Drosophila melanogaster: one gene and its partner. Changing the gene in region 2 together with the main gene of any one other region gives a genetic interaction. Each region holds a gene or a part of one and is shown on either strand. Other genes may lie near its edges.

The links. A genetic interaction does not mean that the proteins touch.
Region 1: of bs (region 2) and mys, changing one enhances a phenotype caused by changing the other (phenotypic enhancement), as found in Drosophila melanogaster (4 studies listed by BioGRID).

What each region holds. Positions count from the first base shown.
Region 1 is NC_004354.4:8,059,738-8,064,690, forward strand, and holds the start of mys (myospheroid), read left to right. Parts: upstream 1-1,907; 5' UTR 1,908-1,988; exon of another isoform or gene 1,989-2,343; intron 2,344-4,102; 5' UTR 4,103-4,220; coding exon 4,221-4,722; intron 4,723-4,795; coding exon 4,796-4,953. UniProt on the Drosophila melanogaster protein: Integrin alpha-PS1/beta-PS is a receptor for laminin. Integrin alpha-PS2/beta-PS is a receptor for Tig, wb and Ten-m. Contributes to endodermal integrity and adhesion between the midgut epithelium and the surrounding visceral muscle.
Region 2 is NT_033778.4:24,340,523-24,345,910, reverse strand, and holds the start of bs (blistered), read right to left. Parts: upstream 3,051-5,388; 5' UTR 1,822-3,050; coding exon 1,237-1,821; intron 1-1,236. UniProt on the Drosophila melanogaster protein: Required for the formation of intervein tissue of the wing. Acts in a dosage-dependent manner to suppress wing vein formation and promote development of intervein cells. Might play a role in the proper formation and maintenance of the trachea.

The DNA of each region.
Region 1 (4,953 bases), on a different chromosome or scaffold from region 2:
AATGCAAAGTGTCCTTGGGGCAAACCGAAGAGGCGCGCTCTTGTGTCGTTTTCCACTGTGCGAAGGTGGGCGGCTAGTGGTGGAGGAGGCGGGGGTAAACGCCACGTGCGCTGCACTTTTTAAACTTACTTTTCCTTTGGATTTTATCGTTCTTCTTTTCTTTTTGTTGTTTCGTTAAATCCACTCGTTCTGTTACTGTTTATTCGCTATTATGGGCGAATATATGTATATATCCGAATGACTTTTGATTTTGGCTTTGTTTATGGCCGCGCTGCCGCTGGATGTTGATTTTGTCTTAGCCAAGTTTAGCTTGTCGGTTTTGTTTGTTGTTGTTGCTGAATTGCGTTGTTGCTATTGTTGCTGAATTTTGAATTGAACATATACAACATACAGATTGTACACGATTGTTAAAAAGTTGCAACTGTAAAAATAAAAACAAAAAATATTGGTCACATCGGGCACTATTTTTTTTCTCGAGATTTTTGGATTTGCGCGCGCCAGAGAATGAGTGTGGCGTAAAGAGAGGGAGAAAGAGTAAAATCCCCAGCGACAAATGTAACGTAACCCACAACGTAAGCGTCTTCTGTACGTCACCACGCTACGTAGGCCACGTAACGGTATGCTAACGTTACCGACGGCGCCGCAAAACCGCAAAATCAAAAAATACAATAACAAAATCGACAAAATTATAGATTTTCAATGTGCACGTCGGTTTCTTTTTGCTAGCGAAAATCAACTAGCGCTAGTATATTTTGCTTTTGTTTTTTCTCATTTCGAGTGAAACTTTTCGCGCGCTTCTGCGTGTGTATTCCTCTTTTTTCGTTTTTTCTTCTTTTATTTGTTAATATTATTCACTTGGTGACTACACACGTTCATGCTCATGCCCCCTCACTCGACACACACACGCACACACACTGACGAACGTTTCTGCTTCTTGCTCCTCTTTCGTTCGCTTTTGTTCCACCACCGAAAAAAATGAAAAAAAAAATTTGTCATGTCCATTGAAGTCTCACATTTTTCAAATGCATTTTTTGGCGCTAAAATCTTATAAATTTCAACATTTTTCCATTCGCATCTGATCCCCCGCAATTAGCACTCCACTTCGAACACAAATTTATATAATTTTTGCCATTTTTTACCACAATTTTTAGTAATTTCTACACACCGATATATACGTACGCGCTACGATTTTTCGACAAACGCGCGAGTTTCTTCTGAGTCGCCATCAAATATACAAAATTTTTTTTCGAAATTACTGAAAATGCGAATACACACGCACACATGGACAGCCGACGGGCACGAGGCGCACGCGCTTGGTACATGCGGCTATGCCGCTCTAACGCACTGCTTTTATTGATAAATCGAGAGCGGGACAGCTAGAGCTACCGGCCGAGAGAGAGCATGTGAGAAGAGCGTTCTGTGCGAGTGTGTGTGATAGAGAGAGCCAGAGAGCAAAGTAGTCACACATACTCTCGCAAACTCATAGTGGCTTTCGTTCTCTCCTTTTCTCAACCATTTGCACGTACTTTTAGCTTTTTCATATGGCTATTTGGGAAATTCACCAGCAGTTTACACTTATGCTGTTGTTAGTTTTAATCCATTTATACTGGTAGAACGTAGATTCGTCGGCTACTTTACATTAATTTCGTAACGTAAGCGCAACAAAAACAAGGCTGTCATCGATATAAGCAGGCGTTTTTGTCTGAAACTATCGTGCAATAAGTGACTCCGATAACCAGAGTTCCTTTACGTGTTTCTCGATTACTTATCGGATTGTGTTTGCGAGCACAAATGTCTCTTTTAGCGGAGACACAGTCCTCCAAAACTGTGCAACACTGTTCCTAGGCTCGGTGTGACCAGAGCTATTTAACAACACTGGCGAACATCGGATGGCAAATATCGAAAGAACATTGACTGTTGTTCCACCCCCTGCTGACACCATCTGGTAACACTGAACAACAGACCAGATCCGCGGACAAAGCAAAGCAGTAAATATTAATTTAATCCAAATCCAATTCCCGACACCAATTGGCGGCCTTCAGCTGCTGCTTCTGCAGTCGAATTGTATTTTTTTTTTTGGTTTTTCGTGTCACCCGATAAGAGTTAAATTCGCTGATCTAGCGAATAACGGTGGCAAGTAATTGTAATAACTGCGTGTGTGCACAGTGCTAGTGTTTAGTGTGCGAGTGTGTGCGTGTGAGTGGGAACTCCACAAGTGTGCGAGAAGGCAAATCAAAATAAGAAAAGTGCCGCCCTGATGGAAATTAATATCGCGAATTATCAGCGAAAACGCAGCGAAAGTTAAGCCAAAGTGCTGCGATTAATCAGATAGCGGGTGAAATAGTGGGTATTACGTAAGAAATCAATGGATTCCGGGCTGCATTTGCCCAAAAAAAGAGGAAGCAATATCGAAGCGCTACTTTTATCTCCTCTTTTTTCGATGATTTCATTCGCAGTGACGACACACAGGCACGCACACACCGAACGCCGTATCTGTGTGTGGGTTGTTTGTTGAGCTAAAAAAAATAATGAATCCTCACGATACATTCACTCGTTTCATTTTTTTTGTTATTATTATTCATCATATTTATTTATTTCTTTGAGTGTGCATATCGGCGACTTCGCGACGCCAATTGCTGATTACGCCCCCTCCCTTTTCAGTGCAACTTCCCCACCCCGGAGATCTTGCACTCGAACTAAAAATCGAGTAGAGTACGTAGGCAGAAGCGAAAAGAGCGTACAAAAATCAAGAGCTCAGTGGCAGCAGCAGGAATTTGTGTTTGTCAGGGGATTGCCCAGATTTTCGGGGTAATTGTCCACTTTATAAACAGCCAACCGAATTTGAAACCAACTGTAACTGGAAGTAAAAACCAATTTTACCAAAGCTATCAAAAAAAAAACAATAAAAAAAATGAAATCCTCTGCGCGCCGCTGGTTTAACCAGTACGCCCACATGTGGGCGGCCCAGATGTGCCTCGTTTTTGGCCCAATGGCTGTGGGCGTCCATCCGTGGTTGAAACTATGCGCTGCAGATGCTGTTTACTCAGGCGGTTTATAGTATTACGAATTTGCTAGCTAAAAAACTGATTAAAACTACTACTAAGTGCACAACTCATAACTTTGATATGCTGTGACTGGGTGTATAAATGATAATCGAATGAAATTATTCAATCCAAGGGTATATAAACATGGGCTTAGTCGTTTTTAGTTTGTTTTCCTTTCGGCACACGATCTGCTGCAAATCAAGCTCTGTGGTGTGTTAGTGTTCGTTGTGTTGTGTGTGCGTGGGCGTTTAAAAATAGCCGACCAACACAACACCCATACGTATACGTAATCTGCAGCCCTTTTTTTTCCGTTCCGTGCATATGGAATTTTGATTTGAGTCTTGAGTGGCTTGGAGTGAGTGATTCATGTGGCTTTAGGCGGAAAGGAAACCCAGCGAAGCTGACTCAATGACCACTCATTGTTCGTTCGGCCTTTGTTTACATTTTGCCAGGAGCCAAGAGAGCGAGAGAGCGTGCTAACGGAACGTGCTCGAATGAGTAATTCGCATTGCATTTGACGTTTATCGAAAGCTCTCTTCCTTCCGCTTTTTTCCTTTTCTTTTCGGAGGCCAACAAAAAAAAACAACAAAAGCACGCAGGCACGCACACCCACACACAAGTTCGTACATCAATCGCTTGGTGTGTGTGTGTGTTTGTGAGATGAGTCATCTGGCCAAGTTGATGAGAAAATAAAATTAAACATTAAGGTAGAGCGAAAGAAACAACAAAAAAAGGGGACAGATGTGCGGCCATTTGCTGTTGTTTGTTGTTGCAATAAAGAAAAAAGCAGGGCACGCGGAGAAAGCAGTGCTCGACAAGCAGTGCAGTCAGCAGCTGGACTTTTACGTACACCGGCGTTCGTAAAAATTGCAGCGAAATCGAAGAAATCAAATTGTGTCTTAAAAATAAATGAAAGATTAAGGCATATAAAAAAAAATAATATAAAATATGTAGCATTAGAAATATAAGTGAACCAGGAATGGCTTTTATAATAATTTCTGCCCCTTACTTAACATCTAGTGCTAAATCCAACAATTTTAATTCACTTACCATTGCAGCCGGCGCACAGAAGCGACAGAGACAGAGCACACACAGCACCTGGCACATCCAAGGATATCCGATCCTCCTGCATCCCGAATCATCCACAACCTGCACCAACCGCTAACCGCCAAAGCCATGATCCTCGAGAGAAACCGGAGGTGCCAGCTGGCCCTCCTCATGATCGCAATACTGGCCGCCATCGCTGGACAAACGGATGCCCAGAAGGCGGCCAAACTGACGGCAGTGAGCACATGTGCATCGAAGGAAAAGTGTCACACCTGCATCCAGACAGAGGGTTGCGCCTGGTGCATGCAGCCGGACTTTAAGGGCCAGTCGCGGTGCTACCAAAACACCAGCTCACTGTGTCCGGAGGAGTTCGCCTACAGTCCGATAACAGTTGAGCAGATTCTAGTGAACAACAAACTAACGAATCAATACAAAGCTGAACTGGCGGCTGGTGGCGGCGGCTCCGCCATGTCCGGCAGCAGCTCAAGCTCCTACTCGTCGAGTTCGAGCTCGTCGAGCTTCTACTCGCAGAGCTCCTCGGGATCCAGTTCCGCCAGCGGATACGAAGAGTACTCTGCCGGCGAAATTGTCCAAATCCAACCGCAGTCCATGCGACTCGCATTGCGCGTCAGTGAGTAGCAAACGATTGCATCATCCATGTGACCTACAAACTAATCCCTTACTTGCTTATCAATACACCTTAGATGAGAAACACAACATCAAGATTAGCTATTCCCAGGCGGAGGGATATCCGGTGGATCTCTACTACTTGATGGATCTCTCCAAATCTATGGAGGACGACAAGGCCAAATTGTCTACGCTGGGCGACAAGTTGTCCGAGACCATGAAACGCATCACCAAC
Region 2 (5,388 bases):
AATAAACTTCAGTAAATAAATTAAACTTATTAAACATTTAGTTTATACTTGACATTTTATTGCCATTCTAGCGTACAACAAGCTAAACGTTTTCCCAAATCTCCCCTTTTAAATTTAAGTGCTCCAACGTCTTTGTTTTTGGTCTGCTTGGGTCAAATATTTCATAAGATTTTGTGTCTTGGGCAAAGATCGTGCTGAGATCGTGATTTAGCGCCGCGATGTTGATGCTTTTTGTCTGATTTTGATCGGGGCTTGGTTCAGCTAGTGGCCAGGGAAGTCTATTTCAGAAATGTGAAAAATTTCATATACGGCCCCCAGATCGATGGAAAGCAGCAGGAGCTAATGCAGTGGCATTATGTAAGTTTGCGTGTGAAAATTGGTCATTTGAAAATGCCAAGGCAACGTTGCCAGTTGCAGCGACTTGTGGGCCACCATCCACAAGGAGCACGCATCAATTGTTTCGGGGGAGGAGTGCTCCGTGGGCAGGAGCCTCCTTTGAATGCAATTGCGGCGGCAAATTAACATTTTATGAAGCCGAAAACAAAGGCAACGCGGAATCGTGGGCTACCGCGCTTACACAACGCCGCCAAAGCGGCCAACAGTTGGCCAAACAGACGCGATCTGGCCAAAAGCAGAGGATCTGCGGCTACTGTTCTAGAGATGAGCAGAGGTACTTCGCGGGCACAGTGGTTCGGGTTTTTGAGTCTTAAATCAAATTGTTTAGCATTAGGTTTGGGATCCCAACATAAGGTGGCCTATAAGCAATTTCCAAGCAGAATTTGTATTGGTCCAATAAACATACTTCCAAGTGGAACTAATAATTGGTAATGGACACAAGAGAAAGATTTGAATATTTGAACTGACGAGTAATGTACACAAATGGTCTAACTGTTGGATATATCCATTGGGTACTTGATATTCCGAGATGGTTCTCCTATTGTGCGCCAGCTATCCCGACCACTGTGCCGATGGCCAATTGACAATAAATCCTCGCTCTTTCCGGAGGCAGAACAATGCCAGAGATGTGGGGGAACTGCTGGATTCCGTCGCAACTGAATCCCTGAAGCATTTATTAATTGCACATGCGCTGGAAACGTGGCCCGATGTCAACATCCCAATTGCAGCGCCAATCGTGGCTGGAATGGGGATTGGGATGGGGATCGATTTCGGTTTCGGGGTTGGGTTGAAAATATCGTTGGGGATGGGGATGGCGTAGGGGTGCTCCAGCGATCTTACCTTCTTCATTATGCCCGTCTTGCGCTTGGAGAAGGTCGTGTAGCGACGCAGCTTATTGTCGATGTATTCCATTTTGATTTTGACACGTCCCTTTGTCTTTTTGCCGTTGGCAGGCGGAGACTTCTTGTTGGGCAGCGGGTTGTAGTTGTCTACGCTGTCGTCGACGGCTCCGCTGGCCACGTTGTCCAGTCCTTGGAGGGTGAGTCCGCCGGACGAGCGGTGGTGATCCTCGTAGCAGTCGCTGCCGGAGCGCTTAAGGCCGCGTTGCTGCTGGGGATGCTGCTGCTGCTGTTGTTGCTGCTGCTGGTGTTGCTGCTGCTGCTGTTGTTGCTGCTGCTGCTGCTGGGAGGCGTGCTGTGGGCTGTGGAGCGTTTGGCACTGCGGGGCAGGGGGTGCTCCTGCCGCGGGATTGGGGCGCTGCATCGGCGGAACGCCGCCCATGTTCTGGAGCAGGCCACCGGAGGGCGGGCGGCCCGCCCCCAGGGCCGGGTTGCCGTACATGTCCGCCGGATCCGCCAGGCTCAGCCCTATGCTACTCATCGAGTAGTTGAGATTGTACCGCGAGTCACCTCGCGTCGGATCCATTCTGAGGTAAAAGTTCTCCACCGTGGAGCCGTAGAGATCCAAGGCACCGCGCGCGTCTATTATTGCGTTTGGGTTTCGGGTGCTGGGAATCTGAATATCTAGAATCCGGCCGCGGCACACTTTTCAGATCAGATCGCTTTATATTCCAAAAATAAAACCACACAGAAAACACTCAACGCGCGCGTTTCGCTGGCGTTTTCGGCCTTTTTGGCGGCGGCGGGCGCGTTTCTGGGGCGGTTTTTGTGCCCGTCTGCCTGGGGGCCAAGTTCTCAGTCGAGGAAAACGCTATAACTTATTAAAAACCCGGGTTTTTTTTGGCCAAGAACGCGAATTTAAGTTTCTTAAGTGCACGCACACACTTACGCGCGCACACACACAGGAAAACTGACAGCTGACAGTCCTGCAGTGTTGGAATGCGGCTGAAGTCCAGGGATGCAGCGCTCGTGTGTTGCGCAGTGTGGTCGTTTGGCGCGGAATTTGAATTTTGGTTTGTGTTTAATATTTAGGTTCTGGACCGCTTTTATGGCTTGTTTCCAATGGCTTTAAGTTTCTTTATGGCTTTTAATTTCATTTAATTGTATGTTATTTTTTGGTTGCAGTTCTTTTAGTATATTTTATTTAACTGGTGTTAAGAGTTTTTATCTTTGTTTGCCTTCTAAAACTTGTGATTTAATATTTAATGTTTACTATATGTGTTGTTTGTTGAACTGGTTTTAGATGATTTACCAAATCCTTTCTCGCGTTTTATAATTGTTGTGGTTTATTGGGATGTTTGCTATTTTCTAAAAGTTTTCGAAGGTTTATCATTGAAGACGTTCCTTCTCATCGCTGGCTGATGGTGCTTTATTCCTTTGATTATGGCCTCTATAAGTTGTTATCTCCTTAAGTCTTCCGCTTGCTGTCTGCTTGTCTCGAACTGATTGCATTAATATCCGTTTTTTGTAAAAATTGTTTAAGTGTTTCTGGTAAAAAAAATACGCCTAACTTTGTTTCGACTTCGTAGATTTAGTGCAGTTATGGGAAATATTTGTGTTTTTGTTTGTTCCGTATGCGTTGCAGTTGGTTTGCTTATTTGTCGCTAGGCACTTGTTTGGACTGTTTACTTTATTTGTGGCGATTTTATTGTGGTTCATTCCAAATACGAATTCGAAACGATTCGACGGGCTAAACTTGCGATCGATAGCTGGCGTTCGTTGTTCTTCAGATGGCGTGCAAATACCTAATAAACTTCAGCGTATTTCCACCAACGATGTTCGCTCGATATTCCAAACTTGGGCGAACCGGTTTCCTCTTTTCCTAAGAGCGCCGCGCTCTCTTCGATTTCGAACGCGAAGAGTACGGAGTACATAAAAACAAACCCCAATCCCCCATTCCCCGACCCAATCCCCACCCCCGTTCGGCGTCTTCCTGCTGCCGTCGTTCATTTTGCTGGCTTTATGGCTTAATTAATTAGATGGCCACGCCCCCATATGCATACCCATTCGCTGCGCATGCGCACACATAGATCGTGGATTTGGGATTCATATGGCTGGGTGGCTCATTGGCTCCTCCCCTTGAAAACTCGTGGTTGAGTTCGGTAATTACATACGTGGCGTTTCGCCTTATCAGCGCTGTTAATTTAGTTAATTTGTGATCTTCTGATTTTGTGATTTTCTGATTTTCTTATTGCTGATTTTGTAATTTCTTTTGCGACATTTCGCAGGCTGAGCTTTGCGGGCATCTTGAGTGCCCGGGCGCAGCAACAAAAAGCGATACACTTAAACTATGCCAGGAATTTCTTAGCCCCGCCAATATGGTCAGAATGCTCTAGAGGATTTGCGTGGTGGGCCCACTTGTACACAGGAGCACGAGTATTTCGCCATGTCCTTAAATAGAGGTTCGCGGAATGGGCAAAGGGGCGGAGTGGGCATGGCCACGTGCAGCGACTAGCAGATAGCAGCAGATATGTATATAGTAAGCGCAGATAAATCGATACACTCACTGCGCCCCGATCCGCGATCGAAGATGATGCATTCCCCAGCTGCAAATGGTCATCGTTGCCTTTTCCAGCCATCGGTGTCGTTGTCGCCAGCTTGTCTCTTCCGCGAATAAGCCAGTCCAGGTCCCGTGTCCAGCTCCACGACTCCGACTCCGAGGTCGACTCCGATCAAGCACCAGGACCAGGACCACAGCCAACTGCAGCTCCGCTCCTCTCGCATTTAATTAGATGGAATATAGGAGCTCGATGGTTTGTCTACCTGCCCGGGCTGCCTAATGATTTAAATTAATCATAATGACTGTCAAAATAGAACGTTTGCCGCTGCCAGCGGATCATATAAGGATCGATCCACGCAGCGGGCACCAGGTCTTCTGGACACTACGGGAAAACGGATGCCACTTGGGTCACTTGAATCTGAATGATGCCTTCCACTTGTATTCCCATTTCCCCAAGACTGCGAAAAGAAAGAACAATAAATAAAGATGAAGTTTGATGATCCCCACGCATTCCTAATAATTCCGTATTTTATATGGATTAGGTTTACAGATGGGTCATATGACATATGCATCTCTAGCTCTGTGACACTTTTTTATTGTGTAATTTGGTTTTAGTTGTTTGCTAAGTATTTCTCCGAGTGCATTTCGATGCAGCTTCTGGTCCTGCTGACATTTCATCATACTCACACGGCCTGCTGGCTGTTGGCTTCTTGGCTTGTTGACTTGTTGGCCTGCAAGCCTGGTCTGAGGTTCTCACAATTGTAGACGCGTTCTGTGCAGCGCTTACTAATTGGTTAGTTGGCTGCAGGCTGGGCTCTTCAGCGTCTGCAGCCATCCAGGCCCTCTTTCTCCGCCGTTTTCTCCTCCACCGGCAGTAGGAGTCCGCTGGCTCCAGTGCGGCTGTCTTTCTAGGCAATCGTCAGCCTGTCTGGAGGAGAACTCTTGGCTTCTCTTGGAGGCTTCTGGCCAGCTGGGAACAACTGCAACATGCTGTAGTTTTTGCCATCGCACTTTCCGCGGAATTCTCCCCAGCTGAACATTTCTAATACTTAATTATTTGCTTGCCGTTTTACGTGCATTTATTTGAGAGGGGACGAGGGGAATTAGGGGGCTGCTCCTGATGCTGCTGCTCAGAGTCCGCATTATGTAATCCTGCAGAGTTCACCTTCAAAACGGTGGACAGATCATCTAGGCATACGGATGGCATAGGTATATTCCCAAATATATTTATAACTCGAGAGGAGCGTTTGTTCCATTTACGATTCCGAACAACTTTTGATTTTGCAGCTAGCCATAGCCATAGCCACATATGTGTATATTTATATATATAGACTTTTTTACTATTTATAGCGCTACTTGGGCATTTGCCTTAAGCCAAAGCCAAAGTGTTTTAAATAGTCGAAATATGTAAATTTCCTTTTTTTTTGTCTTTTTCAGTATGGTCATGCGGGAAAGTATCTGCGAAATATTGTGTTAGGATTTCAAGTAAAGCACGAGATTCGGATGGCAAGTCATTGGTACGACTGGTGATAGTAGAATTGGATGCAATTAAGATAGCAAAAAAAAAACGAAAACAGTACAAGCGACTCCCCA